Linked DNA regions of Anolis sagrei. The protein of the gene in region 3 interacts with the protein of the main gene of each other region in a biochemical or structural test. Links are inferred from orthologs where the notes say so. Each region holds a gene or a part of one and is shown on either strand. Other genes may lie near its edges.

Evidence for each region.
Region 1: the proteins of BMPR2 (region 3) and GDF5 form a complex in vitro, tested with the Homo sapiens proteins (2 studies listed by BioGRID and IntAct, with this or other methods). The link is inferred for Anolis sagrei from reciprocal best matches to the Homo sapiens genes BMPR2 and GDF5.
Region 2: the proteins of BMPR2 (region 3) and GDF2 form a complex in vitro, tested with the Homo sapiens proteins (2 studies listed by BioGRID). The link is inferred for Anolis sagrei from reciprocal best matches to the Homo sapiens genes BMPR2 and GDF2.

The regions. Positions count from the first base shown.
Region 1 is NC_090024.1:206,779,331-206,789,471, forward strand, and holds the start of GDF5 (growth/differentiation factor 5), read right to left. Parts: upstream 4,238-10,141; 5' UTR 3,809-4,237; coding exon 3,172-3,808; intron 1,272-3,171; coding exon 403-1,271; 3' UTR 1-402. UniProt on the Homo sapiens protein: Growth factor involved in bone and cartilage formation. During cartilage development regulates differentiation of chondrogenic tissue through two pathways.
Region 2 is NC_090023.1:142,235,973-142,246,526, forward strand, and holds the start of GDF2 (growth/differentiation factor 2), read right to left. Parts: upstream 4,238-10,554; 5' UTR 4,084-4,237; coding exon 3,747-4,083; intron 483-3,746; coding exon 1-482. UniProt on the Homo sapiens protein: Potent circulating inhibitor of angiogenesis. Signals through the type I activin receptor ACVRL1 but not other Alks. Signaling through SMAD1 in endothelial cells requires TGF-beta coreceptor endoglin/ENG.
Region 3 is NC_090021.1:165,346,703-165,356,720, reverse strand, and holds the start of BMPR2 (bone morphogenetic protein receptor type-2), read right to left. Parts: upstream 4,859-10,018; 5' UTR 3,785-4,858; coding exon 3,709-3,784; intron 1-3,708. UniProt on the Homo sapiens protein: On ligand binding, forms a receptor complex consisting of two type II and two type I transmembrane serine/threonine kinases.

The sequences.
Region 1 (10,141 bases), on a different chromosome or scaffold from region 3:
CTTATGCTGGCAATCACAAACATCTCCAGATGTGTCACAGCTGTTCAGTGGCACAGAAATGGATTGACAAGGTGCCCAGTGGAAGAATAATTGAGGATGTGACCGATTATAATATCACTATGCATAGGGGCATTTCCACCACTACAGAGCCCAAAGCATTGGGCAATCATCCATGTCCAAGGTTTGGTGGTTTCCTTGCAGAGGTTGCAGCTGAGAGGCTGCATAGAAAGTAGACATGCATAACTAGCCAGCATTGAAATACAACTATAGCTATTGTCAGTGCAACCCCCTTTGGGTAATAATACAGTGCTGGTCCATAGAATTGAAGTGTTCAAAGTTCATATATTAAAATCAGCCGCTGGGAAAAGCTTTGTCCAGAGAGCCACGTGAAAGGCTGTGCTGCTACCTACAGCCACATGACTCCACTACCATGTCTTCATATTGTTTGTAGACCACATTATTGGCAGAGTCAATAAACAGGATGCTAATGGGACTCAGCCTTGTTGGCACGCAGCAAGTTGGAGGCGTTGACTCTGGATCCATAGAGTTCATTAATGTTTGGATAACAGCATGATTGGTCGGTTCCAGATGAGACCGAAGAGGGAATTCACAGAGTCCTTCACAATGATAAGCTTCATACTCAAGAGGTGCTATTATCCAGTCATCCCATCCCATATCTTTAAAATTTACATGCAGTGCTTTTTTGCTACATCTTGCCTTCAGATTCTTGTTGGGCCTCTTTCCTTGTCGAGTTGCTAGAGGAGCCCTTCTCTTTCTTCTTTGATTGAATAGGTATTCATAAACAGTTTTGTCATCCTGGCCAGATCTGGCTTTGATTTCATTGAAGAACAAGTCTCTTTTCTTTGTCCTACCAAACACTAAAAACAGAGCCTTTTCATTGACTTGCCTCCCTGTTCTATTAAACCCCACAGTCCTTAAATCAACAGGCCTCCCCCTTTCAAAAGCTTCCAGTTCAAAACACAAGTTAGCAGAGTTTTTAAAATTCCTAAAAAGTTTCCAAATGTCAAAAACTTCCCATTTTGCAGTATCTAAGATATTGACAGTTCGAGAGTCCAAGAGGATGGACGCTTGCCGGTTTGTGGAGCAACTGAAAAGTTTCACTTGGCATGTTTTCCCATGAGGATGAGGCTTCCAGGTATCTGAAGGTTTTTTCCTCAAAATACGAAGTTCTGCTCCTAGTAAGCCGTCTTTTTCTAAGGCACTGATATCAAACATATATTTCTGCTTTTTTACAGTGGGAGCTCGGTCATCTAAAGAGAAAAGAAGGAAGACATTCATGTATCTCAGACAGAAATTTGCTTTTTGTTTTCAGCTTTTTGAAACAACATACAATGTCTACAGTTACAGTAGAGTCTCGCTTATCCAACCTTTGCTCATCCAACGTTCTGTATTATCCAATGCAGTCTGCCTCCCACCTGCATCCACAGCTATTACAATACATTATAATGTTTTGGTGCTAAATTCATAATACAAGAATTACTACCTAACATTACCGTGCATTGTACTGATTTTTCTGTCGATTTGTTGTAAAACATGATGTTTTGGTTCTTAATTTGTAAAATCATAACGTAATTTGACGTTTTAATACACTTTTCCTTAATCACTTATTGTCCAACATTTTCACTTATCCAATGTTCTGCTGGCCTGTTTATGTTGGATAAGTGAGACTTTACTGTAATTTGAAATGACACATTAGCTCTGTTAGGAATTAGAAGTTTACTAGAATATTCAAGTTCAGACATGGAAATATTTCTGCTTCATCGTCAGGAGCCATTTCCTCCACCACATTAAGGTTAATCAGTGAAAGTTAACTTATACTCAAATATATGTAAAATTATTGTACTAGGCTGTTAATGAGAGTTTGTGGCTTTCTTTACTAGTAATGCATTATGATAAATGAATGGAGACAACCCTGGCAGACTGAAAACAAAATAAAATAGAAAGTCACACATCAGTCAAGCATGTTTAAAGTTTGAAAATAAAGCATCTAAGCTGTACCATCACCTAAAAAGATATTTGCCTTACCATATTTTAAATCTTGACAACCAGCCCCTTCACGACCTGTATATTGCATTGCCATCCAAAGTCTTCATGGTACTTCATATACAGCCTTGCCTTTGTTTACATACTTCCAAAACTTTTACAGTGAAAATGAATGCATGAATCTGTGATGGATGAAAGCTACTTTCCATAATCAAAGTTGTATGCAGCCCACCTTCCAGTGACACTTGTCTGGGAGCACTGTGCACTCAGCACTTGATCCAGAGCTTGGAAAATGTGCTTTCTTAGACTCTATCATTATATTGACTAGCTGGGAAATTTTGAGAGTTCCACTTCAGAAAAAAACTAAAATTTTGAAGCTCTGATATAGGTTACATAGACTTTGTGAAGGTCTAAAAAAATACAAATGGTCTCATAAATTCCTCTACCAGTGTTATCGTCACTACTTCATCACACTAGAGAATGGATCCACTTTAAATCCAGTTTCTGCCTCTTACAGAATTCTGGGGTTTATAGTTTAGTGAGGCTGTTAAAGGCTCCTCCCTAAACTACAAACCCTAGAATTGTGCTGGAGGCAACAACTGGGTTTAAAGTGGATTCAAGAGTAAATCACATGTATATTTACCAAAGTATATTTAATTTCATTTCATTTCTACAGATCCCCCCCCCCCAAAAAAAAAAAAAAGATTTAGAGGTGGCCTGATTCTTGTTCTTCTTAAGTCCGCCTTTATAGTTAAAGCTTGAATAGATATTGATTGATCTGGTCTTGCTGCTGGAGAAGTAATTGTTTAGATCCAAACTTAAAGAGTTGAACCCATTGAAAGTTTCATATTGACTAAAGTCCCAGCGATAATGCATCTAGATACATTCTGTCGCCATCATATTTTTTTTGATGCACATTCCACAGAATATATTATTTTTAAATCCTTGTGCCAAATAGCCTTAAAATTACTAGTAGTATACAGTAACGGCATAAACCATCTACAAAATCCCAGTTCTGATGCTGAAAATGCTCTTTAAATCTGCATTGTAAACATGAAAATGTGTGCAATCAGCCACGTTTTACATCTTTCCATAAATACAAAAAAAGGAAGCATTCATATTCAACAAATGCACATTAATATATCTCCAAACATTAGCTTTTCTTACCTTGTCCCTTGTCTATGAAGCTTGTGATTGTATTGGCAAGTCCGGTCTCCAGTTTCACACTTCCGTTCACACCTTTTCTTTCCGCATCAGACAGAGTCCTGTATAAGGAAAGCATGTATTCGTGGGGTGTGATAGCAGGATGTCTTAATGACTCTTTAGATTCTCTTTGGGCAATAGAGTCTTTAGGCTTTTTGTTTTTATAAGAGCTGGCATCAGAATTCCCTGTGCCAGTTTTCTTCGGTGGGGCTTTGGGGCCAAAGTTCTGAACCTTTGGAGTCACTGTTCTCACTCCAGTTTGCCTGTTTGGAGGATGTCCTCCTACCTTTTTGTCTGTGCTCCCTGCTTTAGGGAGAGCCTTCTTTGAGTCATCAGTTTTTGCCACGAGAGTTCCAGCTTGAGCAGTGTTGGTTTTTGTCCTTGGCTTGGAATTCCCAGTGCTATATCCATGGCTTCCCGTTCTAAAGGTACCTGCCCTTGGCAAAGGGTTCCTCTCTTTTCCATCTACTTTTGATACAGCTAATTTGGCTCCTGGATTCCCTTGACTTGCTTCAGCAGGACTCAACACTAAGGAGATGAGAACGAGATGAAACCAACAAAAGTGCCAAAGCAGTAAAGTAAGAAAGTGCAAGATTTTCATCCTCTGGTCTTCCTTTGAATGCCTCCAAAGAAAAATTCAGAAAAGATTCCTCTTCTAGTTTGGCATAAGAAAACATGAAAGAAATTGAAAACCAAAGTCAGCAGGAAAAGCTTTATTTTCAGCTTAAAACACTTTAAATCTACTTGTCCAATCTTTGTATCCAGTCCCATAGTGGAGATGCTCATTTACTCCGTTCCGTCTTCTCCTGGTTTCTGCTAGCAGCCTGTTCTTGAAAAGAGAAAGTTTACTACCCCCCTTTCTTCTGTAAAAGTGACTAAAAACTTGAAGGACTCTTGTTTAAATCGGAGAGGGTTTTTTTTTCCAAGAAGGAAGAATGGCGTAATGCTGCCTCTGTGTTAAAAGGTTTTTAAAAAAGTTTTGAATCCCTTCCAGTGAAAATATTTCACACACAGAAACCTGCAGGTGCTCAGAAATCTTTTACAAACCTGAACTCAGGAATTGGAAGCGGAATTCCAACAAAAACCTATTTAATTACTCTCTGATGTCATGCTGTCTAAACTAATTTAAGTGTGATATATTTCTTTTAAAAAGTCTTCTTTGCCCTTTCCATTAGCATGAGTCATACCCTGCTTCATGTAAAATAACTCTGTAGGACCAAAAAATCTATAGAATATGCAATTTAAAGTGGCAACATGTTGCCTATTTTAGCCTTAAATGAACTTCTCATTTGAAACAAGACAGAGTCACATAAGATAAAACAGTACACGCTTTTAGCAAGATCATGTCTAAATAACAATATTGATCTCTGTGAATAATATCTAATTCACAGCTGTTTTTATAAAGCTCTGAACATAGAACCCAGTATTTTCTCAGCAGCAATTTCATTCTTTGGGTTGGTGATGACAGCACAGAAGTGAACAAGAGTATTAACAAAATGTAGTCATCCCTGCTAAGCATTTTAAAACATTATGACACACTGAAACAAGAAAAAAAATAATCTGATACATTTCCAGGGAATATATTGTATATTCTGTTATATTAATATGTTCCCTGGTTGACTTTGGAAGTCCATAGACATTCATTGTTAGGCAGCAACATTTGTTCCAGGAACATGGACCTTCTATACACTGGAAGCATTAAGGGATCTCAATACCATATTCTGGAGCTAAATCCTATTATCTTAAATAACTTGGATACAAATGTGATATTTGGTTTAAAGGCTTATCACTCTTTCCAGTTTTCGACTACTGAATAATGGGATGGACCACATAAAGAAGGGATAGAAATGCCTTAAAGAGAAGAAGGAGGGAAGGAAGGTAATGAGCAAGACAGAGAGGAGAAGGTGACACAAGGTGTAAAGGAAGTTGATGTGGTAGCACAAAGAGGAAAGGGAAGGTGGATGGTGCAGTGCAGAGCGTAAGGAGTGGATAAGGAAGGAATGGCAGCAGCAATAGGCAAGGGCCAGAGAAATGAATGGGACAAGGTAGGTGCACTGAAAGGGAGAAAAGCAAGATAATAGTAGCTCAGGTTCCCAGGAAGAGCATAGTGGTGTAATTTATCACTCCTGGTACTCTCTTCCTTTGATAGCCAGCTTATGAGAGAAACTTGTGGCATAATGTAAAATAAACCACATGTAGTTCACATTTAATCAGTCCACACACTGCCTTGCCAGATAAAGAAAATATGAACAATAAAGAACAAGTAGTTTACTCTTTGTAGTTCATAACAACATATGTACAGTCATGTGATCAGTTACATCAGTTCACATAATGTGCTTTTATGAGAGATTTAAAATAGTCTTTCTTTGTCCATGTGGAGAAACTCCTTTAGCAGCTCATAAAGCAAGAACACACTCTAAATGCTGTCTCTCTCTGCTTCTCTCTTCTTCTCTCTGCGTCTCTCAGAGCACCTGCATAGCTCAAGCCTGAAAAATGTAACAGTGACCAAAAATCCCAGGCTTAGCTTGTTCCCCAGGCACAGCCCGACCAATCAGCTTCATACATCTTATTTTACCATTAACACACACATTAACTGATTTCTTGCATGCTGTAACGCAACTCAGAGGAAAGCAGAAGCTGAGAAAAGGCCAGAGGTGAGGATGGATGGATGGGTAAACAGATCGAAGCTTACTGAGTCAGATTATTTTGACCTGAGATTTTGGAGGAACAGATTCAAATGTGGAAGGACTAACTCTACATTTATTTAATGTAGTCAGTGGAGGTAGGCTGGCCACTAGGATCACCATTTCAGAACTATCTCAGAAACACAAGTCCATAGGCCAAAATCTGGGACCTAGGAATGGTCTTTGGTGGTGTCAAGCATTATGCATTAGGTACCCATGATAATTACTCACACACTATATTATGCTGTTTAGAAATATAGGGAAAAAAACTTTGCTAAAGGGGTTGTAATTAAATCAATGTGAAATTAGGTGGTTAGGATAAGGAGCATAAGAAATATTTAAGCCAAAAGATGGATGCAGAATGGAGGCTAAATCTTGATGCCAGGAGGGATGGTGGGAACTAACTAAATACATAGACACCCCCCACCCCACGAAGAATGTTTGCAAGATGCATCAACAGTACAACCCTTGCAAATTCTAGGAAACTGCAATTCTACTATTTAAGATAGTCTGGTGCTGAGTTCACCAAAACTGCAGAATTTGTACCCTCGTGTCTTGCTTGGAAATAACCAATGAAAATTTGAGGCTTAGGATCAGATGCTGAGATTTGGCAACCCTATTTGTCATACCAGATTAATATTTTGTTTGATTCTTTTTAATGAAACCAAATACTTTCTGAGTGTAACAGTGTTACTCTGTTGGAGCAAAACAGTAGTGTCTACTTGCAAGCTTTAATAAGTTTTATTTGCCATAAAGCTTTGTAAACTGCAGCCCATTTCAACAGATTCATGAAGTGTTGTCTCAGCTGACAGATGATTACACACATTGTTGGATGGGAGCAGGTCATTAAGTGAGGTGAGAGGAAACTGAAATATTAAAAGTACAAACATCAACTGGTAATTAATCACGAATAGCTGGGTGATGGCATGGAATTCTTACCACAAATAAACTGATTAGTTCATATATTGTGAGGAAACAGGGAACAGGAAAAGGAAAGTTAAATTCTATTCTATTCTAGTAGTTACAAAAAAAAATTCTGCATTTCTGAAGGAAAACTCACCCTGCTTTTTCCTCCTGCAACTGCTTTGTTTTTTTCTTACCTTCCTTTTCATTTCCTCCTGTGAATCAGATGGCAGTCAGTCTCAATTACTTTTTGTGATTGTACCTTTTTGCTATCAATAAAAATAATTATGGCGAAAAGATCCAGTGATTGAGAAGGGTCATGCATGATATCATCATTATCATTATTTGAAAATTAGAATGCAAATTAGTAATGTAAACTGTGAACATACAGACATGCACATGTATATAAGCATAGATAAGCAGGTAAATATATGCATAGTGTAGAAAAATATTTGGCTAGTACATTGGCACAGAAACAGTAAAATGCCATCAATAAGCTTCTTTTTTGTGTGTCAGGAGCGACTTGAGAAACTGCAAGTTGCTTCTGGTGTGAGATAATTGACTGTCTGCAAAGACGTTGCCTAGGGGATGCCTGGATGTTTGATGTTTTACCATCCTTGTGGGAAGCTTCTCTCATGTCCCCGCATGGGGAGCTGGAGCTGACAGAGGGAGCTCAACCCACCCTCCCCAGATTTGAACCGCTGACCTATCAGTTAGCAGTTCTGCTAGCACAAGGGTTTAACCCACTGTGCCACCGGGGGCTCCATCAATAAGCTGGCATGGGGAGAATCCTATCGTTACAAATGTAACAGTGATTAAAGTCATATTTAAATATATGCCATTAGCCAATAAAAATTGTTTGCCTTCATATCTCCATTAATGGACTGGGATTTGTGAATATATACCCGTTCAGCTTTTTTTCTTTTCCATCTCCATTAAAAGTGTTCTGTTAATGAACTGTACCTTGGAGGTCTGGGATGGAATGACCAACAACGTTGAAATATTCTTCCACCGTTTTCTTGGTATTTCCATTTCTAATATCAGAATAAAAGTGATGATTTGTGGCGGGGGATGACAATTGCTTCTCCTGTAGTTCTGGATACTTCTAATCCTTCCAAGATGGGATCTTGGGAAATTGCTGTGCAAAAAAACCTTCACTGTGCTCACAGGTGACTTCACATACAGAAGCAAGCTCCAAAATGTGTTAATGCTTTGCCTAATTGTATATATATTTTTTTTAAAAAATATTTTGTTACTTTCAACGGCTCTCTTGTGTTTTTCTTTCTGTTCAGGTTTCATATTCCAGAAATGGGTCTATCAATATACTAAAATTTCTCCCAGACTTTGTTAGGGGTGTGAATAAATAACAATAACTGTAGGTAAATATGTTATTGGATGCACCAACTATTGCTAGGTATTTAACTTTTAGTTCCTTAGTCCTGTAATAGTAACTTTGTTCAGCTATATCTGCATATCTGAATTTGTTTCAGGTGTGTTCCATTCCATATTATATTGTTGTATTCTGTATTTCAACACACTGTACAGAGCTTAGAGAACTTTAGCTAATGGTGGTTTTAAAGTGCAACAAATATATAAATAACATAGGACACACTCTCTCTCTCATGCATAGGTAAAGGTAAAGGTTTCCCTTGATATTAAGTCTAGTTGGGTCCCACTCTGAGGGGTGGTGCTTGTCTCCTTTTCTAAGCTGAAGAGCTGGCATTGCCCGTAGGTCATGTGGCTGACATGACTTTGAAATGGAGCGCCATTAGCTTTCTGCCGAAGTAGTACCTATTGATCTATTCATATTTGCATGTTTTCAAACTGCCGGAGCTGGGGCTAATAACAGGAGCTCACTCCATCTCAAGGATTTGAACTGCTGACCTTCCAGTCAGCAAGTTCTGCAGATTAGTAGTTTAACCCACTGCACCATCACAACCCTTTGCATGCATACACAAAGATAAAAAAATAAGAATATTTCAGAAAATATTCTTGTTTAGAAATAAGACATTTTAAAATATATATATTTGTGTGTGAGATTTTTCCCCTTAAATTTTAAGGCTTAGATATTTGTCCCTTGCAAGGAATTGATGTTGACCATGATCAGAAGCTGAAATGTTTAAAAGAATATACATCAAGCACTAATTTTCTTACTAACAGTACTTCAACAGCATGACCGACCAGCATGATTTCCATTGTACAAACAGAGCCTGCAGTTCTCAAACCACTAATGAGCTATATAGCTTTTTGTGCTGACACAGCAATTTAAGGACTGAGCAATTTTACAGAAATTAAAGCGAAGGGAGTTTCTGCAGTTTGACAAAGAACGCTCTGAGCAAAGCTCACACCGATGCCCCCAAACCATGAATTCCCCCAGAGACAAGACTATATCCAGCCCTTTAGAATTATGATAGTCTAAAGGGCTGGATATAGTCTTGGAATATGGAAATAAGTGTATCTTTATCTCTCTCTTTCTCCCTCTTTACTTCACGGATGTGAACACATATAAGGAATTAGAGTATATCTACAATTAAGCAACATGGTGAGCACCACAAAATGTGACAGAAGCAGAGGTGACAGAAGGAGGGAAGTGATGTGACAATAAGCTTGAGAGCAATAGAGGAAAAATAAGTACAGTAGACTCTCGCTTATCCAACCAATGTTCTGTATTATCCAACGCAGTTTGCCTCCCGCCTGGATCCACAGCTGTTTCAATACATTCCAATATTTTGGTGCTAAATTCGTAAATACAGTAATTACTATATAACATTACCATGTATTGAATTGCTTTTTCTGTTGATTTGTTGTAAAACATTATGTTTTGGTGTTTAATTTGTAAAATCATAACATAATTTGATGTTTCATAGGCTTTTCCTTAATCCCTGCTTATTATCCAACATTTTTGCTTATCCAATGTTCTGCCGGCCCGTTTATGGTGGATAAGTGAAACTCTACTGTACAACTCTGCTTCATGCATGAGACCTTGGGGTTTCATGTTGAAATCTATGTTGAATCTTTCAGGGGTAATTTTAGAGATGGGAGAGGAAGGCTGCACATTACATAGGAGGAGAGATTATAAAATCACACAATCTTCTCCTCATAGCTAAACGCAATAAATACCATCCACCATTCCTCATAGGACATGGAATACTTTCTCCAGTTCTAGACACCAAAGTTTAAGAAATAGGTTGGGAAGCTGCAGTGTATCTAGAGGAGGGTGACAAAGAGAGCAAAGAGTTTCAAAAGCCATGCTTATGAGAATTTATTTAGGAGCAGTGGTTCTCAACCTGTGGGTTCCCAGGTGTTTTGGCCTACAACTCCCAGAAATCCCAGCCAGTTTACCAGCT
Region 2 (10,554 bases), on a different chromosome or scaffold from region 3:
TTCTTGAAGTTCCATATAGTTCTCTTTGATTCTGTTATTGGGATCATTAGAAAACACAACCAGCAAGGGTAAATGGTTAGAGTTCGGTGTTACACCGGTATGTACATTCCCACAGGTAAGATCACTTTGAACATCGCTCTCTATATCAATCTCCAGCTGATTAGTACTCATTGTTTTGTCTGCCTTAGTCCATCTTTTCACAGTGCTAGACACATCAAACATCGTCCAACCACATTCTTGGATTTCTTTGGAGACTAGGACGGATTTGACATTATTTGGTTCCTCCCAGTTGTTTCCTTCAAGGACATCATACACAGCTATATTTCCTTTAAAGTTCACCAAACTCTTTGTGCCCTTTTGACAGTCAGTGTGGATTCTGAATTCGGCTCTGGTGACATCTTCATGCCATGGGATGGAGACATTGAACAGCAAAATGTATTTCTGAAATGGATTCATTTCCAGAGGAGAAAGAGAAGTAATATCTGGAGAAGAAAACCGATAAACACTATTATCATGACTACTTGCCATAATGTGAAATTTCTCAGGAAGTATATGTTAGTCTTGAATCTTCAGTGCCTTGATCAATAGCTTGCTGTTTTAATTTAAATATTATTTAGTTTCATTTGTTTTTTATCCACTTTTCTCTGGGATTATGATCCATGGTAAGTTAGAACAGCAATAGAAAATAGAAGATAATAAAGTAAATAGAAACCAAAGGGAATAAATGTAATAACCAATAGGTTATTCCACCGGAAAAAGCGATTGCCATATTAACATCAAAAGAAGAATTAAAACACCATCAACAGTACTCCCACAAGACTCTTCACATAAGGTGTTTATCTGCCAGTAGGAGAGCAGAGTTGAACCCAGGCTAGAAGCTTTCCATAGTATGAGAAAGCTTTTTGTTATGGCCTCACCAACGATACCTATGAGAGTGGTAGAACTTAGGGTGCTTTGCACTGAACATATAATGTGGTTTGAAGCTAACTTGAGGCTGCGATGACCTTAAAATAGCAATGTGTGCTACAATTTGTAAAGGCGATACAGCACTTTAAAAGTCCCAGTGAAATTTGTGTTCAGTCAAAAAAATATGCTGAAACTGATCCTTATGTATCCAGGATCCAGGGCAATATAGTTCTGCAAAATGTAGGATGCATTGTAGACACCCACCTCTGCTGAAGCACAATAAAAATCCCAAAGTGAGACTTAGGGCCCTTCTACACTTACTTAAAACCTGGGAGGAAGCAGGTTAAAATAAAATATTTTGAGAAGACATGATCCACAAGAAGAGACAATAATGCTTGATAAAGGGGAGGGCAGTACAAAAAGAGATAGTCTCTCAGATGAGTAGACTTCACCAAGGAAGTCACAATGTTATTGAGAAATTTATTAAACACAAATGAACAGAGATGAATTAAACATGAATTTATTTTATTTTTTATTTTACCAATTTTGCAATTCCAAAATGCCTCTCCACCTCAACTCTGGAAAAGTCCAGGCAGCTATATCTCCTCTTGTGTATGAAATCAACTTTTATGAAATTGTATGACTTATATCAAATGAAATCAACCCTTAAAGTATATCTGGAACTGCAAATCTATATAAAAAGACTTAATTAATCTCAGTCCTTGGGACAGGAAGTGGGCTAAACGGGTAATGTATGCAAGCCTGGAGTACCCAAGTCTCACTGATGGGATATATTGTGCTTATGTAAAATGCAACCCCCTTTCATTGTCAACAATTAAATGAGTTCCTCCAGAACTGCAAGCACTATCTCAAGCAAATTTCGACAATTTATTCACACTGTCATTACTTGCAGCAATACCCAATATAGTGGAAGCAACCAATTTCCTCAGGATGCCCCTGGAAGAGTCAGCACATGCAATGACCCCTGCCAAAAGATGTGTGATGGTGATAGCGGACCAGAAACAGTGGTTTGCAGATGTGACAGGATGACCCAAGAGTGTGCTGTCTTCCTAGATAAAAAATCCAAGATGTAACCAAAAGGATGATAAGGCTTGTAAAGCCTACAGACCATTACTCCTTCCTTTTGGTTCATGTGGGAACCAATGACACTACAAGAAATAGCCTTTGAGAGATCACATGGGATTATGAGGCCATAGGAAGTAAGTTGGATGGGCCTTGAATCCCAGTTCATCTTCCTCCCACTTTAAGGAAACAACCCAGGAAGGGAAAGGATAATAGACGTGAATAACCTTATCCTCAGATGATGGAACTGTTTGGCTTCTGAGTCCATGGTCTATGGTTTACTTGCATTGAGCTTCTGTCAAGGAATGGCTTGTGCCTCAGAGAGATTAGCAGGAAGATTTTTGTGAAGAAATACACAAACCTGACCAGGAGGGCTTTAAACGCTGCTATCTGAGGGAGACTGCTAACTGGGACTGTCTACAGGCAGTGTACAACTCCACTGTTACAACAGGTCTTATGGCTGCTAATACATTCAAATTGCAGGTTTTGACCTATAAAGCCTTATATGTCTTAGGTTATCTGAAGGACTGTATCTCTTTCTATGAACCTCTGAGGCATCTACAATCAACACGCGACAACCTTCTCTCTGTACCATCACCTGCTCAAGTGTGTTTGGTGGGAACACAGGAGAGGGCCTTTTCGGTGGCTGCTTTTATACTGTGGAACCCCCTCCCAAGAGAGACCAAGATAGCTCTGTCCCTGCTTGCCTTCCTCAAGACTTCCTGGCCTTTCTCTGTCAGCAGGCATACTTGCTAAATCCATAATATTGCTAAATCCATAATATTTTGATTGTTCTGCCATCTAATTTTGATTTATTCCACTTCTTCCTAGATTGTGATTAATACTGATATTATTAAGGTATATTCATAGAATCATGGAAGAGACCTCGTGGGCCATCCAGAGCAACCCCCTGCCAAGAAGCAGGAAAATCATATTCAAAGCACCCCTGACAGATGGCCATCCAGCCTCTGTTTAAAAGCCTCCAAAGGAGGAGCCTCCACCACACTCTGGGGCAGAGAGTTCCACTGCTGAACAGCTCTCACAATCAGGAAGTTTTTCCTAATGTTCAAGTGGAATTCCCTTGGAGTTTTTTTTTTAAGTATTCCTATTCACATAGGTGAAGCAATGAAAATATTTCTAGTTGCCTCCTGTGGTTTGCAAAAGAGAATTACCAATAGCTAAGAGTACTTTCTTGATAAGTTGTACTAATTATGAACTTTTTGATGCATCTCAATTTGGTCACTGCTGAAAGTATAACTCTTTGGTTTGGAGGTGGGATCATTGTTATCTGCCATAAAGCTCAGAAAGGTTGGCCTTCATTCCTATTCTATTCTATGGCCACTGAGGCAGAACTTTTCTCACATTTCCCTTTGTAACATCTGAAAATTACATTGATTCCTTTTATGTCATTTAATATGGACTAGACATTTTCCTAATATGTGGAGATTGTTCCAGTCTGAGAAAATGGTTTTTACACAGATTTTTTTTCTTTTCTATTAATTTCTTTCTATCTAAATGAGCTGGAGGAGAAATAAGGTCAAAAATATTATTTTCCTTAGTTTCATGCATCCAACTCCTTAAGATTTTTTAAATGGCTATTTCACAAATAATATAAGAAAACAGATGACACAAAATTGTTAGTAGAGCATTTAAAAAAAACAATTAAGATTTCCTGGGAACACAAGGCACTAAGATGCCTGGGGAAGATCTTAGCCTAGATGTTTGGGTTGAGGGTGGGGGAAAGCCAAAACTCCTACCTTCAGGACTGAAGCTGCGCACAATATTGGATATGGGGCTGGTAGACTTGTCCTTGCTATATCTATTATACAAATCAATCATGAATTGTGGTGGTTCCTCTTTCATCTTCTCTTCTGAAGGTACTTCTGACAAGTTCAAGTTCCTCAGGAAATCAGCTTTCAAAGTCTCCAGAAACGATTTAAAGTCAAATTGGGCTTCTCCCTCCACGCTCCCAATGTCACCAGAATATTCATGGGAGTTTGGGGTTGTAAGTAATCTGTCCCGGGCTTCCATGGGTTTCCCACTTGTCAAAGGTATCATGATGTTTAGAAGAGTGAAGGCCCCGAAATAATACATTTTTCATGAATCCTGTTTTAAACGAGGGTATAATACAGTAAGGATCCAGGGGAGCAGGCTGACTGAAGTCTGAAATGCAAACACAGAATGCCAATGGCTGACCACTTTCTCAAGCTGCATTGCAGCCGTGTTTTTTCCAGTGCTAGCCCCTTGTGAATCATCAAGCAGATTGGCCATACACTTGCCCTTATCTTGACCACAGTCTCTTATCTATCCGCGCTCTTCACTAATGAATATTCTGTAAACATAAGACAAGTACATATGGTCGGTAGAAGCACATAGCACCCAGAAAAGAATCCATGTTCCTCTTTGCGGTCACCATTGCCTAATTATGTTCCTTTATCATTTTCTTGCCAGCAAACAATATTCATTTTAAGATGTCTGGGGGAAGGCATTAGGACGAAGTTTCCTCTTGTTTCCCACAGCATACAGAATTAAGATAAAAAGAAAGAAATAATACCTGTTCTAAAATATCTTGACATACCATTCAAAAAGTCACATATGTAGGAGCTTTATTGTGGCAAGAAATAATCCCATTATTGTTAAATAAACGTTTAAATATTTTCATTTCTCAGTCAAGTGACTTGCTGTTGTTTGTGGGGGGGGAGGGGAGTCTGATCGGGTTGCTATGAGTTGCAACCCAATCAGGTTGCTGATCGGGTTGCTGATTGGGTTGCTTCTGGAACATGGCTCTATGGCCATGTTCCAGAAGCATTCTCTCCTGAAAATTTTCCCACATCTATATATATAAATTTGTTAGGGGCATCCAACGAGGAAACAAAACTCAAAAACCCCCCAACGAAACTTAACCAAAATTCCCATGCCCATAACACAACCCACAAGGTACAAACATATCTACTCAAAATGAAAAACAACACAACAACACACTCACAAAACGGCAAAACAACAAAACTCAAAAAAACCCCAACGAAACTTAACCAAAATCCCCGTGCCCATAACACAACCCACAAGGTACAAACATATCTACTCAAAATGAAAAACAACACAACAACACACTCACAAAACGGCAAAACAACAAAACTCAAAAATCCCCCAATAAAACTTAACCAAAATCCCCGTGCCCATAACCCAACCCACAAGGTACAAACATACCTACTCAAAATGAAAAACAACACAACAACACACTCACAAAACGGCAAAACAACAAAACTCAAAAATCCCCCAACGAAACTTAACCAAAATCCCCGTGCCCATAACACAACCCACAAGGTACAAACATATCTACTCAAAATGAAAAACACACACTCACAAAACAGCAAAACAACAAAACTCAAAAATCCCCCAACGAAACTTAACCAAAATTCCCGTGCCCATAACACACCCCACAAGGTACAAACATATCTACTCAAAATGAAAAACAACACAACAACACACTCACAAAACGGCAAAACAACTGAGCATGCGCATTGGCGCCCAGCCACAAGTTCCCTGGCGCGCGCACATGGCCTTCCGGCCAACGTTCCCTCTGCGGAAACCATTCCCACTCCAAGCCCCGCCGTGCCGCTTCCCGCACACACACACACCCTGCCGCACACACACACGCAACCCCACGCTCCATCACTCCCCCCGCCGCCGCATACACACACGCAACCCAACTCCCCCCGTCGCCACACACACACACACGCAACCCCACGCTCCATCACTCCCCCCACCGCCGCACACACACACAACCCCACGCTCCATCACTTCCCCCGCTGCCGCACACACACACGCAACCCCACGCTCCATCACTCCCCTGCCCCAATCTTACCGCCTTTTACTTCACGCCACCTCCAAACCCCACCCCGCCCCTTCCCGCCCTGTCAAAATCTAGGAAAGACAGGAAGGAAGGAAAGAAGGAAGAAAGAGAAAGGGAGGTAAACAAAAAGGGGGAAGGAAGGAAAGTTAGAGGAAGAAGAAAAGGAAAGAAAAGGAAAGATGGAAGGAAAGAAAAGAGAGACAGCAGAAGAGAAAGAAAAAGGGGGAACTAAGGAAAGAGATAGAGAAAGAAGAGGAGAAGGAAAGATGGGAAGGAAGGAAGGAAGGAAGGAAGGAGGGAGGGAGGGAGGGAGGGAGGGAGGGAGGGAAAGAAGGAGAGAAGGAGGGAAGATTGGCCACAGCAACACGTGGCGGGTAAAGGTTGTTATTTCTATTATTATTATTATGCTATTGTTCCTATGAGACCCTTTTAGGGGGAATGATGGGAGAGGTGTCAGGTCCCGGAGGCAATGCATTGCATTATTGTTATTGTTATGATGGTGGTGAAATAAAAGGAAATAAAAAGTGAAAGAAGGAAGCAAACAGGGAGGGAAGAAAGGCAAAGGAAGAAAGGGGGAAGGAATGAAGGAAAGAGAGAAGGATGAAACCAAGTAGTGAAAGAAGGAAAGAAAGAAAGAGGTAGAGAAGGAAGAAAGGAGAGAAAGGGGGAGGAAAAGGGGGAAGGAATAGGTAGGGACCTCTCTTTCATAATAGTCCAGATATCTACCTCAACTTTGATAAGTTTTACTATAGGCCACAGCAACGCGTGGCAGGGCACAGCTAGTTATTTTTAAAATTTTAACTATTACGTCTGGCCCGGCCATAGGTTTTTAAATCTTTTTGTATTATTGTCTATATGTGAGTTATATTAATTGTATTGTTTATTTGCTTATTGCTTGTTATTTTTACTGATGTGTTGTTGGGCTTGGCCTCATGTAAGCCACTCCAAGTCCCTTGGGGAGATGGTGGCGGGGTATAAATAAAGTATTATTATTATTATTATTATTATTATTATTATTATTATCTATGGTAGGCATCCTCAGAGTTTGTGAGGTCTGTTGGAAACTAGGCAAGTGAGGTTTATGTATCTATGAATCTTCCTGATTTCATATGATACAAGCCACCCTTACTTTGGAGATCTTTTTTAGCTCTATATAACAAACAACATTATTATGGATGCCTGTTTGTATGTGTGTATCAGCTTCATTTGTATGCCTTTGTATGTCTTCTCCCAGAATAAATTTTAAAACTATTTAAATCACTACATAAAACAATAAAATAATGTAAAAAAACATACAAAGTTTAAAAAGACAAATAAAAGCTCTTACTAAAAAAAAACTTCCTGGCTTATATATTTCAAATCTGCTTAAACGAAAAGGCCTTTGCCTGCTGGGAAAAGAAAAACAATGAAAGGGCAAACCTAGCTTCCTGCAGAAGATGGCAGCAGCCACTGAGAAGACTATTTTGTCCTCACCAAGCGAGTGTGCAATGTTGGGAGACTGAGCGCAAACCTTCGTCAGAACCATAGTAGACTTGTGTGAGGAGACATATTTTTTTCACTAGTCTTGATCTAAGCCACAGAGGATTTTATAGGTCTTGATCAACACTATGAATTGGGCCCAGAAATGAACTGATGACCAGTGCAACTGTTTTAACAAGGGAATTATATGCTCCGTATAACTGACCACAGCCATCATTCTGGCAGCAATACTTTGGACCTGCTGAAGTTTCTGAACAGTTTTCAAAGACAACCCATGTGGAGCACATTATATTGCTCCAAAGAGAATACAATCCAGGCACGTGTCACTGTAGCCAGCTCTGATGTCTTAAGGAGTAGGCATCACTGGCACATTAGTTTTAGCCAGGGGCGGCTCAACCCATTACGCAAAGTAAGCATTTGCAGTATAGTTGATTTTGCCCAGGGGCGCTCATGAGGCGCTCTTGAGGGGGGAAAAAAGCCTTGACATATGCAAGTTGTAGTTACTGGGATGTATAGTTCACCTACAATCAAAGAGCATTCTGAACTCCACCAATGATGGAATTGAACCAAATATGGCACACATAACTCCCACCACGAACAGAAAATATATATCAGTGATTGGTTTTGGGGGGGGGGGGGCAAAATACTGTTTGCTTACCGTTGAAAATTATCTAGGGCCGCCTCTGGTTTTAGTTGTGCAAATGCACTCCTGAGCACTTCTGAAACTTTGAATGCTAAAAACACTTTGTCTAACATGTTGTTGTTCATTCGTTCAGTCGTCTCCGACTCTTCGTGACTTCATGGACCAGTCCACGCCAGAGCTCCCTGTCGGCCGTCACCATCCCCAGCTCCCTCAAGGTCAGTCCAGTCACTTCAAGGATGCCATCCATCCATCTTGCCCTTGGTCGGCCCCTCTTCCTTTTGCCTTCCACTTTCCCCAGCATAATTGTCTTCTCTAGGCTTTCCTGTCTCCTCATGATGTGGCCAAAGTACTTCAACTTTGTCTCTAGTATCTTTCCCTCCAGTGAGCAGTTTGTCTAACATAATTATTAGTAAAGTTAGCTTTAATTTTAACTATATCATACCATAGGTACCACTGCATCCATATTCTCAGATTTTGATAGCCTTGTTTCCTGAACTGACATATGCCTGTACATAGAATAATAGAATAATAGAGTTGGAAGAGACCACATGGGTAATCTAGTCCAACCCCTGCCATGCAGGAAAGGCACAGTCAAAATATCCCTGACAGATGGCAGGGACATGACAGTTAGAACATTTGGAAATAAAAACATAAGATTCAATAAACAGGTTGTTGTAAGCCTCCCTGAGTCCCCTGTGTGGTTGAGAAGGACTGGATATAAATGAAGTAAGTAAATAAATAAATGCTTCTGCCTCTGCTCACTGGGAGAGAGAATTTCCACTATCACCACTTGAGTCCTTATGACCCCTTTTGACAGATTCTCTGAAAATAGCCTTCCATCCAAGTTCAGTGCTTTTTTTGCTGGAGAAAGCAGCAGTTGGTCTAATTGCACCAAGATTACAAAAACTTGGCACCTGCCATATCTCTGTCCTGGCCCAGTGCCCAGACTTTATATTCAAAATATGAAGATCTTTTCCATTTCACACATTCCATCCACAAACTCATGCAGCAGCTCTCAGAGAAGTAGAATGAAGACATGTTGATATACTGAGAAGAAAAATTAGCCTTCACATTCATTTAACAGGGATGCTTCCTATTTACCAGTCTAAAATTATTTATTATTTATTTATTTCAGGTATTTCTACCCCGCCCTTCTCAATCCCCGAAGGAGGACACAGGGCGGCTTCCAACTGGCATACGTTGATGCCTACAATTCACACAGTAAAATACATAGTAACAATAAATTATAACAGTTAAAACATTACATTAATACAATAAAAATACAATAAAATGCCAGCCTGGTGGCCATCGTTTTGCCAAGTCTGTAATTAATAAATTCATTCTGCTTATCATAGTCCATTTCCAAAGCTTTAGTCGTCATTGTCCATTGTCAGTCTGCCAGATTATCCAAAGGCCTGGTCCCATATCCATGTTTTTAATTTCCTTCTGAAAGAGAGGAGGGATGACAATGATCTAATTTCCCCAAGGAGTGAATTCCACAGGCGGGGGGCCACCACTGAGAAGGCCCTGTCTCTCGTCCCCGCCAACCTCGTTTGTGACAATTTTACAACTTGAACAACAATGTGGAGGGCACACAGAAGCCTAGAAATATAAAATGTTTCCAGATGTTGGGCCTAAAAATCTTTGTATATTTTTAATGAAACATAGATAGCATCTCTAGGAAATGTCACTATAAGAAACCCAGGGGCCACGGTAGCACAGTGGGTTAAACCGCTAGCTGCAGGAAATCTGCTGACCGGAAAGTCAGCAGTTCAAAGCCGCAAGTCAGGGTGAGTTCCCAACTGTCAGCCCTACCTTCTGCCAACCTAGCAGTTCTAAAGTATGCAATGCGAGTAGATCAATAGGTACTCCCTCATTGGGAAGGTAAAAGGGTGCCCCATGCAGATATGCAGACATGCCGGCAACACAATCAGAGATGTCTATGGACAACAGGCTCCTTGGCATGGAAAAATGGAACAAGAGCACCTCCCCATAGCTGGAGTTGAGCATCACCTCCAGATGCCAGAGATGGAAAAAGGGGAAGGCCTTTATCTTTGTCTGTGTTGTATGTTGTTGTTCACAGTGTGTAAAAGGCATAGAATGTTTGTCTCATATGTGTATATTGTAATCCGCTCTGAGTCCCTCCGGGGAGATAAAGTGGAATATAAATAACGTGTATTATGATCATGATTGTGATTATTTTCTCTTCCCCACCCCTGCCCCTCCCAAATATAGATACAAAAAAAAACACTTCTTTTGAAGTTTCAGATTGACGAACTTGTGAAAAATGTGTAGTGCTTACCTTCTATTAGCCGCCTTTAATGACAACCTGGAGAGATGCAAGTGGACTCATCAAGCCAAATTAAGCAGTCCAGCTGTGATGCCTCTCACACACATTTTAATCAGGGAAAGATAATTTGTGAGAACATTAATGAATACAGATTGCTCCCAAAGTCTCCATGTGGGGCCTGTGATGCATTATTTTCTCTCTCAACAATAATGATTCTTATCATCTTTAAATGAGAAATTCCTGTCAAGGTACTGAAGGAAGGTAGAACATAATGAAGACAAATGATATGCTTTAGGTGTA
Region 3 (10,018 bases):
TGCAGAAACTTCAGACTTGTTCTGTAATGTAACAAGATATGCTATCTTTGCAGGATATACATCTAAACTGCAAAGGTTATTCAGCAATTACTTTGTTTAGCCAAGTACCTCTACTGTCTGAGTTTCCAAAAGATATTAGATAGGCAGATGCCAGAAATTTTTCTGATGTAAGAAGACAGACTAGATTGTTCTTGGGAACTTCCCAAGCCTGTGATTAATAATGGGTATGCTGTCAAACCGGAGGATAATTACCAACAACTATACAGAACACACAGTTGTTTTACTTCCTAAGAAGCACAAACCAAAGCAATTATCCTTAATCTTTTTAGCATGCTGTTTTTAGCATGCAAGTATTTCAACATTTTGGTAATTGGGTCATAGAAAAGGCATTTTAGCAGATTAAATCATGGAATAGTTTAATTATATTTGTTATATTCAATGTAAAAATCAAGAGCTAATTCTTCAAACGAAATAACTACAATAGAAAGCTCCAGTTTTAAATACCAATGACACAGCCAATGTTTACCTTACTAGTGTAAATATTCCATACATTTTAACTCACAATTTTCCAAGGAGACTTCTGAAAAATTTTAAAACCTTAAAAATTGTCAATCCCAACCAGAGCAAACATGTTAAATCAATGAGATTTATGTAAATGGTAACATATATTCAGCAACTGGACCTACAAGCAGCAACTAAATTTAGGTCTAAATATATAGCACACTGTTCTTCTGAAAAAAATTTTTTAGAATTATTCATTATTCATATTTATCCAATTTGATATCTGGGCAAGCGGATACCTCGGCAGCCACCTCTCCACCAAAGTCAACATCGACGCCGAAATACAACACCGCCTGAGCTCTGCAAGTGCAGCATTTTCCCGAATGAAGCAGAGAGTGTTTGAGGACCGGGACATCCGTAGGGATACCAAGGTGCTTGTCTATAAAGCTATTGTCCTCCCAACCCTGCTATATGCCTGTGAAACGTGGACTGTCTACAGACGTCACATGCAGCTCCTGGAATGATTCCATCAGCGCTGCCTCTGGAAAATCCTGCAAATCTCTTGGGAAGACAAGCGGACAAACGTCAGTGTGCTGGAAGAAGCAAAGACCACCAGCATTGAAGCGATGGTCCTCCAACATCAATTCCGCTGGGCCGGCCACGTTGTCCGGATGCCTGACCACCGTCTCCCAAAGCAGCTGCTCTACTCTGAACTTAAGAGCGGAAAATGGAACGTTGGTGGACAGGAAAAGAGATTTAAAGATGGGCTCAAAGTCAACCTTAAAAACTCTGGCATAGACACTGAGAACTGGGAAGCCCTGGCCCTTGAGCGCTCCAGCTGGAGGTCAGCTGTGACCAGCAGTGCTGCAGAATTCAAGGAGGCACGAGTGAAGGGTGAAAGAGAGAAACATGCCAGGAGGAAGGCACGTCAAGCCAACCCCAACCGGGACCGCCTTCCACCTGGAAACCAATGCCCTCACTGCGGAAGAAGATGCAGAGCAAGAATAGGGCTCCACAGCCACATACGGACCCACAGGGAAACCCATGATGGAAGACCATCTTACTCATCCAACGAGGGATCGCCTAAGTAAGTAAGTATCTGGGCAAAATAATATTAAAAGGATACTACACAGATTTCAAAAGTAAGTCCTCATTAACTTGTTCTATGTGACATTTGTTAACAATCACAAAAGATTCTGAAATCTTGAAGATCTACTTTAAAAATTAACACATCCTTAAGCCTATTTCTTCAATGCATTTAAAGTAATTTTCCACAGTATTTGCTTCTCTATTGAACAAATGCACTACAAATTCAAAAAAAAAAAGAGAGAGAGAGAACTAAAAGAAAGTAATATGGTGTTAGGCAGATGTTTTAGGTTTCTAACAGAGGAATACTCTACCTACTCAACAATAAGTTTCACTGACTTCAGTAGAACATACTCTCAAGTAAGCATGTATATTATTACAGCCTAAGCATTTGGATAAGTGCATGCAGGAAAGATAATTAAAAGCATAATGATGTCTCAGCACTTCAGAGAGTTCTTTTATTTCTATCTCCCAAGCTACAGTGTGCCACTATCAGGCTTCTCCACAGTACCAAAGCATGAACTATACTCCCATTCCTTGTCCATGTATGTAGATGTAGAACAAAGCTAGTAATGAACAAAACCAACAAGATTAACATCACTCAGTGTGCAAATATATTTCAGATATTGCATTGTGCACCAGAACTTATATTTATGTTCAGCTGACTATTTCATGGCAGATTTTGTCAAATAATTTTCTTTAAAATCCAGATGACATATATTGTCTCGCATGTGTTTAAAACATTGTATACAAAGAGTAATAATCATTTATTTATTTATTTACAACATTTATATCCCACCTTTCTCACCCTGAAGGCGACTCAGGGCAGCTTACATAATTGGCGTTATTCCATGCCCAAACAACAACAACAATTAAAAGCAATTAAACAAAAATTTAAAACAACATTAAACAACATATGTAAAGAATAGACGACAATCGTGCATACATCCAAAGCCAGATAATCAAATAATCATATTCATCAAGCCAGGATGAATTCCAACTGTATTGCACAGATAATTATGCTGGGTCAAATACTTGCTCTCAAAGAGGAGATTTCACTTGTTTGCGAAATGACAGGAGGGAAGGGGCCGATTGAATCCTACTAGGGAGGGAGTTCCACAGCCCAGGAGCCACCACTGTGAAGGCCCTGTCTCTCATCCCCACCGGTCGTGCCGATGAAGGTGGCAGAACTGAGAACAGGGCCTCCCCAGAAGATCATAACCTCAGTGATGGTTCATGGAGGGAAATGTGTTCGGATAGGTAAGGTGGGCCGAGGCCATTCAGGGCCTTATATGCCAAAGCCAGCACTTTGAATTGTGCTCGACAGCAAACCTGCAGCCAGTGAAGCTGGTGCAACAGGGGAGTTGTGTGCTCCATATATGCAGCTCCAGTTAGCAATCTGGCTGCCTCGCCTTGGATTAGTTGAAGCTTCCGAACAATCTTCAAAAACAACCCCATGTAAAGCGCGTTGCAGTAGTCTATACGAGATGTAACCTGCACATGGACCACCATGGCCAAGTCTGACTTCCCAAGGTACATACATAAAGAACTAGTAACCTCACTGTTGTGAATAAAGATTTGATACTCATGAAATTGAATATTTTTTCATTGTGTTATATTGTCATTCCACATCATAAGAGACCTTGAGACATATCTACAATGAGAAACATACAACAACAAAAATTGTTCACCCAAACCCTGCAAAATAGAAACCAGCACCTGGTAATTATTCCCATTTCCAAGAGAATGATGCAGACATTTTAAAGGGACAGATCTGAATATTGGCCAGCCGCACCCCCTTCTTTTGTAGCAGCCTAGCTGTTACCTCTAGAACCGGTTGAACCAATGTATTGAAATACACAACCATTCCTTTTTTTCCACTGGGGCCACATCCACACAGCTGAATAAAATCCCACATTATCTGCTCTGAACTGGGATATATGTCAGTGTGGACTCAGATATTCCAGTTCAAAGCAGATTTTTGTGGGTTATTCTGCCTTGATGTTCTGGGTTATATGTCTGTGCAGGAGGGCCCTGGAACGAAATGGGTTTTAAACCCGGGTAATCCGGTTTAATTCATGAGCAGATCATGCTGCCGGGTTACACCCACTGGCTACTTACCAGCCGCAGTGCTGAGGAGTAAGGTGGCACTGGCGAAGAGCAGCACCCGCCAAAGGTGCTGCAGCAAGGCAGTCATATTTGGAGGGACCCAGGGAAGGGGGCCTGATGGGCGCGATTTCCCTCGAAAACAAGGCCAACTGGGAGGAACCCTTCCGGCCGCCAGAGAGTCGACAACCTTCCTGGTTTACAATCCAGCCGGGAAGGGCAAAGGCGAGGTCTGGCCAGGAGCCGCCCGAGCTCTTCTGACTCCACGACGCGAATCTGCCTTCATCTTTCAGGGCTTCACGGGAGGGGGGTCCTCAAACCAGTATGGGGGATCCTCTCCCCAGATACAGGACCATCCCTGCGAGGCTGGAAAACCCAGATTAAGAATTCCCACGCGTCTTCTTCACAGGATCAATGCCCCGCTTTGGTTTCCAATGAATCATATCCAGAGGGGAATGAAGAGGATGGTTGAAGACTGTCAGGAGAAGCAGCTTCCCTCAAAGGGAGGTTGAAAAACACGAAGAACACCCCCCACCACCACACACAGGAAAATATATTACAAGGATATTAGTGTGTATCGTAGATATAGATATATAGATTCTCTCTATATATACATAGTATTACAAGGAGGAGAAAGAGAGGAAGGCGCCTCTGTGCTTCTTCTGTGAGGGAGGCAATGAGCAAATCAGAGCTGCCCTGTCCTTGGCTTCAACCAGCCCAAAAGAAAGCAAGGCCCATTTTTGGTCCTCCACAGAAAGGACCTCTTCAGTTGCAAGTCGGGGGAAAAAAGGCCTCCTTTTCTTCTTCTTCCCCTTCTTCCGCTCAGCTCAGCAGAGGCCTCTCCCTCACACAGGTCCCAACAGCGCCAGGCCGAGCCTTTCTTTCTTTCTTTCTTTCTTTCCTTCTCTCTCCCTCACAGTCCCGTCGCCTCCTTTCTTCACAGGCTCGCCTTCCTTTTTGGCCGTTTCTCGAGGCGAATAGTGGAGTCTCGCGCAGCCCCCCTCGCGCGCGCGCGCGCATGCGCCCTCCCTCCCCCACCGCGCGCGCTACCAAAGCTGCTTTTTTTTTCCTATTCCTTTTCAGACCAGACACAAAGGGGAGCCGCGGCGAAACTGGCAGTCTTTCTGTGCCCGGCCCGTGGGCGCCACGAAGCCCCGCCCCCTTCGCCGCCAGCGCCGCCGACGCCTCTCGCTTTGGCCACGCCCCCTTTCCTCCTCCCTCCTCGCGCGCCTCCTTCCCTTCCAACTCCTCCCTCTCCCCTTCCAGTTCCAGCCTAGAGTGGCGGCACGTAACGACGCTCTCCTCCCAGTTTTTTTTGTTTTCCGCGCCCCTCCCGCACCGCCATGTTGCGAAGAGTTCCATGTTTGCCAGATCGGCGGCCTGGAGGGAAAGTGCGTGGGAAGGGCAGGAGGAGATTTTGTTTTGCCTCCCCTTTGGGTTTTTTTTCCCCCATCTCCGTGAGAAGGCGCCTTCTTCAACCCTAGGATGTTAATTGGCTTGAGGGCCTGATTCACATCTCAAGATTGCTTTTTGTAAAAATCTCAAGCATTGTATATAAGATGTATCCATGCCAGGCATGGGCAAACTTGGGCCATCCCTCCAGGTGTTTTGGACTTCAACTCCCACAATTCCTAACAGCCAGGCATGGGCAAACTTGGGCCATCCCTCCAGGTGTTTTGGACTTCAACTCCCACAATTCCTAACAGCCAGGCATGGGCAAACTTGGGCCATCCCTCCAGGTGTTTTGGACTTCAACTCCCACAATTCCTAACCGCCAGGCATGGGCAAACTTGGGCCATCCCTCCAGGTGTTTTGGACTTCAACTCCCACAATTCCTAACCGCCAGGCATGGGCAAACTTGGGCCATCCCTCCAGGTGTTTTGGACTTCAACTCCCACAATTCCTAACAGCCAGGCATGGGCAAACTTGGGCCATCCCTCCAGGTGTTTTGGACTTCAACTCCCACAATTCCTAACCGCCAGGCATGGGCAAACTTGGGCCATCCCTCCAGGTGTTTTGGACTTCAACTCCCACAATTCCTAACCGCCAGGCATGGGCAAACTTGGGCCATCCCTCCAGGTGTTTTGGACTTCAACTCCCACAATTCCTAACAGCCAGGCATGGGCAAACTTGGGCCATCCCTCCAGGTGTTTTGGACTTCAACTCCCACAATTCCTAACAGCCAGGCATGGGCAAACTTGGGCCATCCCTCCAGGTGTTTTGGACTTCAACTCCCACAATTCCTAACAGCCAGGCATGGGCAAACTTGGGCCATCCCTCCAGGTGTTTTGGACTTCAACTCCCACAATTCCTAACAGCCAGGCATGGGCAAACTTGGGCCATCCCTCCAGGTGTTTTGGACTTCAACTCCCCCAATTCCTAACAGCCAGGCATGGGCAAACTTGGGCCATCCCTCCAGGTGTTTTGGACTTCAACTCCCCCAATTCCTAACAGCCAGGCATGGGCAAACTTGGGCCATCCCTCCAGGTGTTTTGGACTTCAACTCCCACAATTCCTAACAGCCAGGCATGGGCAAACTTGGGGCATCCCTCCAGGTGTTTTGGACTTCAACTCCCACAATTCCTAACAGCCAGGCATGGGCAAACTTGGGCCATCCCTCCAGGTGTTTTGGACTTCAACTCCCACAATTCCTAACAGCCAGGCATGGGCAAACTTGGGCCATCCCTCCAGGTGTTTTGGACTTCAACTCCCACAATTCCTAACAGCCAGGCATGGGCAAACTTGGGGCATCCCTCCAGGTGTTTTGGACTTCAACTCCCACAATTCCTAACAGCCAGGCATGGGCAAACTTGGGCCATCCCTCCAGGTGTTTTGGACTTCAACTCCCCCAATTCCTAACAGCCAGGCATGGGCAAACTTGGGCCATCCCTCCAGGTGTTTTGGACTTCAACTCCCCCAATTCCTAACAGCCAGGCATGGGCAAACTTGGGCCATCCCTCCAGGTGTTTTGGACTTCAACTCCCACAATTCCTAACAGCCAGGCATGGGCAAACTTGGGGCATCCCTCCAGGTGTTTTGGACTTCAACTCCCCCAATTCCTAACAGCCAGGCATGGGCAAACTTGGGCCATCCCTCCAGGTGTTTTGGACTTCAACTCCCCCAATTCCTAACAGCCAGGCATGGGCAAACTTGGGCCATCCCTCCAGGTGTTTTGGACTTCAACTCCCACAATTCCTAACAGCCAGGCATGGGCAAACTTGGGCCATCCCTCCAGGTGTTTTGGACTTCAACTCCCACAATTCCTAACAGCCAGGCATGGGCAAACTTGGGCCATCCCTCCAGGTGTTTTGGACTTCAACTCCCACAATTCCTAACAGCCAGGCATGGGCAAACTTGGGCCATCCCTCCAGGTGTTTTGGACTTCAACTCCCACAATTCCTAACAGCCAGGCATGGGCAAACTTGGGCCACCCCTCCAGGTGTTTTGGACTTCAACTCCCACAATTCCTAACAGCCAGGCATGGGCAAACTTGGGCCATCCCTCCAGGTGTTTTGGACTTCAACTCCCCCAATTCCTAACAGCCAGGCATGGGCAAACTTGGGCCATCCCTCCAGGTGTTTTGGACTTCAACTCCCCCAATTCCTAACAGCCAGGCATGGGCAAACTTGGGGCATCCCTCCAGGTGTTTTGGACTTCAATTCCCACAATTCCTAACAGCCAGGCATGGGCAAACTTGGGCCATCCCTCCAGGTGTTTTGGACTTCAACTCCCACAATTCCTAACAGCCAGGCATGGGCAAACTTGGGCCATCCCTCCAGGTGTTTTGGACTTCAACTCCCACAATTCCTAACAGCCAGGCATGGGCAAACTTGGGCCATCCCTCCAGGTGTTTTGGACTTCAACTCCCACAATTCCTAACAGCCAGGCATGGGCAAACTTGGGCCATCCCTCCAGGTGTTTTGGACTTCAACTCCCACAATTCCTAACAGCCAGGCATGGGCAAACTTGGGCCATCCCTCCAGGTGTTTTGGACTTCAACTCCCACAATTCCAAACAGCCGGTGGGAGTTGAAGTCCAAAACACCTGGAGGGATGGCCCAAGTTTGCCCATGCCTGATCTTAACACTGGAATTAATGCAGTTTTGCTGCTATTATTATTATTATTAAACTTTATTGATACCCCACCACCAGACATGTAGCGGAGGGAGGGGCTTGAGGGGCTTCAGCTCCCCCCCCCCCCAAATTCTCATGGTGGTCCGCGAGAAGGCCTTATTAATTCTATACTAATCCCAGCGTACCTGTCTGAACATATATCCCTCTACGTCCCACCTCGGAGTTTAAGATCTTCCGGGGGGGTCCTGCTCTCGGCCCCACTTTTATCACAAGTGAGACTGGTGGGGACGAGGGACAGGGCCTTCTCGGTGGTGGCCCCTCGCCTGTGGAATTCACTCCCCGGGGAAATTAGGTAATCAACATCCCTCCTCTCCTTCAGGAGGAAGTTAAAAACCTGGATTTGGGACCAGGCCTTCGGGTAAGCTGGCAGATGGACAAAAGACAATGACGACCAGAGTAGGAAAGGACAATGACAATGCTGGATGGATTATGGATTTATAAATCGGCAAACATTGACCACAAAATGATTTTATTGCTGTTATTGTATTGATTTGATTGTTTTAACTAGTAATAACTGTTGATGTTAAATTGTATATTGTATTTTGTGAATTGTTAGGCATCGAATTGTGCCTTTGGTAAGCCGCCCTGAGTCCCCCCTAGGGGGTTGAGAAGGGCGGGGTAGAAGCACTCCAAATAAATAAATAAATAAACGGTTCTGGCCCAGTTTACCTGTCTGAACAGATTCTCCCCTATGCACCATCAAGGTTGCTAAGATCTTCTGGAGGGGCCCTGCTCTCGGTCACACCACACTCGCAATCGCGTCTGGTGGGGACGAGAGAAAGGGCCTTCTCGGTGGTGGCCCCTTGGCTGTGGAACTCTCTCCCAATGGAGATTAGATCTGCCCCTTCCCTCCTGATCTTCAGAAAGCTAGTGAAATCCTGGCTCTGGGACATAGCATTCTCAGAACGATTGCGGAGTTCAGCAATAACCTAATAACTACTGACCACACTGGCGGATTGAGATGAACATGATTTTATCTTGGCGATTTGGCATTATGTATTTATTTTGTTTGTATTTAACTTATTGTGATGTTAGTATGTTTTTAGTTGTATTTGTGTATTGATTTTCTGCTGTTAGCTGGCCTGAGTCCCTCTGTGGAGGTTGAGAAGACTGGGGTTTACAAGTTTTAAATAAATAAATTACTGGTACATTATTTAAACTGTTGTGTTTATTCATATCATGATCTGATCACCATGCTCAATCTATCCCATATGCACGGGGGTATTGGGGTAACGATACAAAAGGTTTGCTAGGGTAGACCCTCTTTCACTCAGACTCAGCCCCCACCCCCCCAGGTTGCATAGGACCGTAAATAGAAAGGTTGAAGCAAGACCAATTGGGAGTCAAAAGTACCAACTACAGTGTCATATAAAATCCACATTGCCTCACCTACACTGCCATATAGAATCCAAATTATCTGCTTTGAACTGGATTATGAGTGTAGACTCATAATCTAGTTCAAAACAGATAATGTTGACTATTTGCTTTGTTAACCTGGATTATATAACAGTGTAGAAAGGGCCTAGGTTGGCTAGTATTGTATGCCTTTAGGTCATTTCTGATCTATGGTAACCCTACAGTCAATGTATCATAAGGTTTTCTTGCCAAGATTTGTTCAGAGGTGGTTTGCCTTTTCCTCCCACTGAAGCTGAGAGAATGTGATACACCCAAAGTCATCTATTGGATGTCCATGACTGAATGAGGCTTTGAACCCTGGTCTCCAGAGTCATAATCACACATCCAATCCACTACACTGGAGCTGTATACAATGATAGCAACTAAAGCTGAGAGTTACTGGCTTGAAGTCATTTGGTTAAATCACATTTAAGCAGAAGTTTTCCAGTTCAAACCATCAGCTGCGTTTTTACAACTAGCTGTGTGTTCACGGGGCTCCCATGTCCTTTATAGAAGTGTTTGCTGCATCCTAATGTATTATACAACCTATATATTGTAATGTATATACAGGGGAGTGTTGCCCTTTTAAAATAACATCTTCAAAGAAATAGGGTAAGTCCAATGCATTATGCAACCAACCTTAATATTCAGAGTTTCATTACGAAAATGAGCTAACAAGCCCATAGGGTGAGATTGCTCCAACAAATTATCCATTCGCTCCCTGCATTATGTTTGCAACCATGCTAAGCTGCCTGTGATTTATTTCATCATGTCAACATACTGGTATGCGTTGTTTG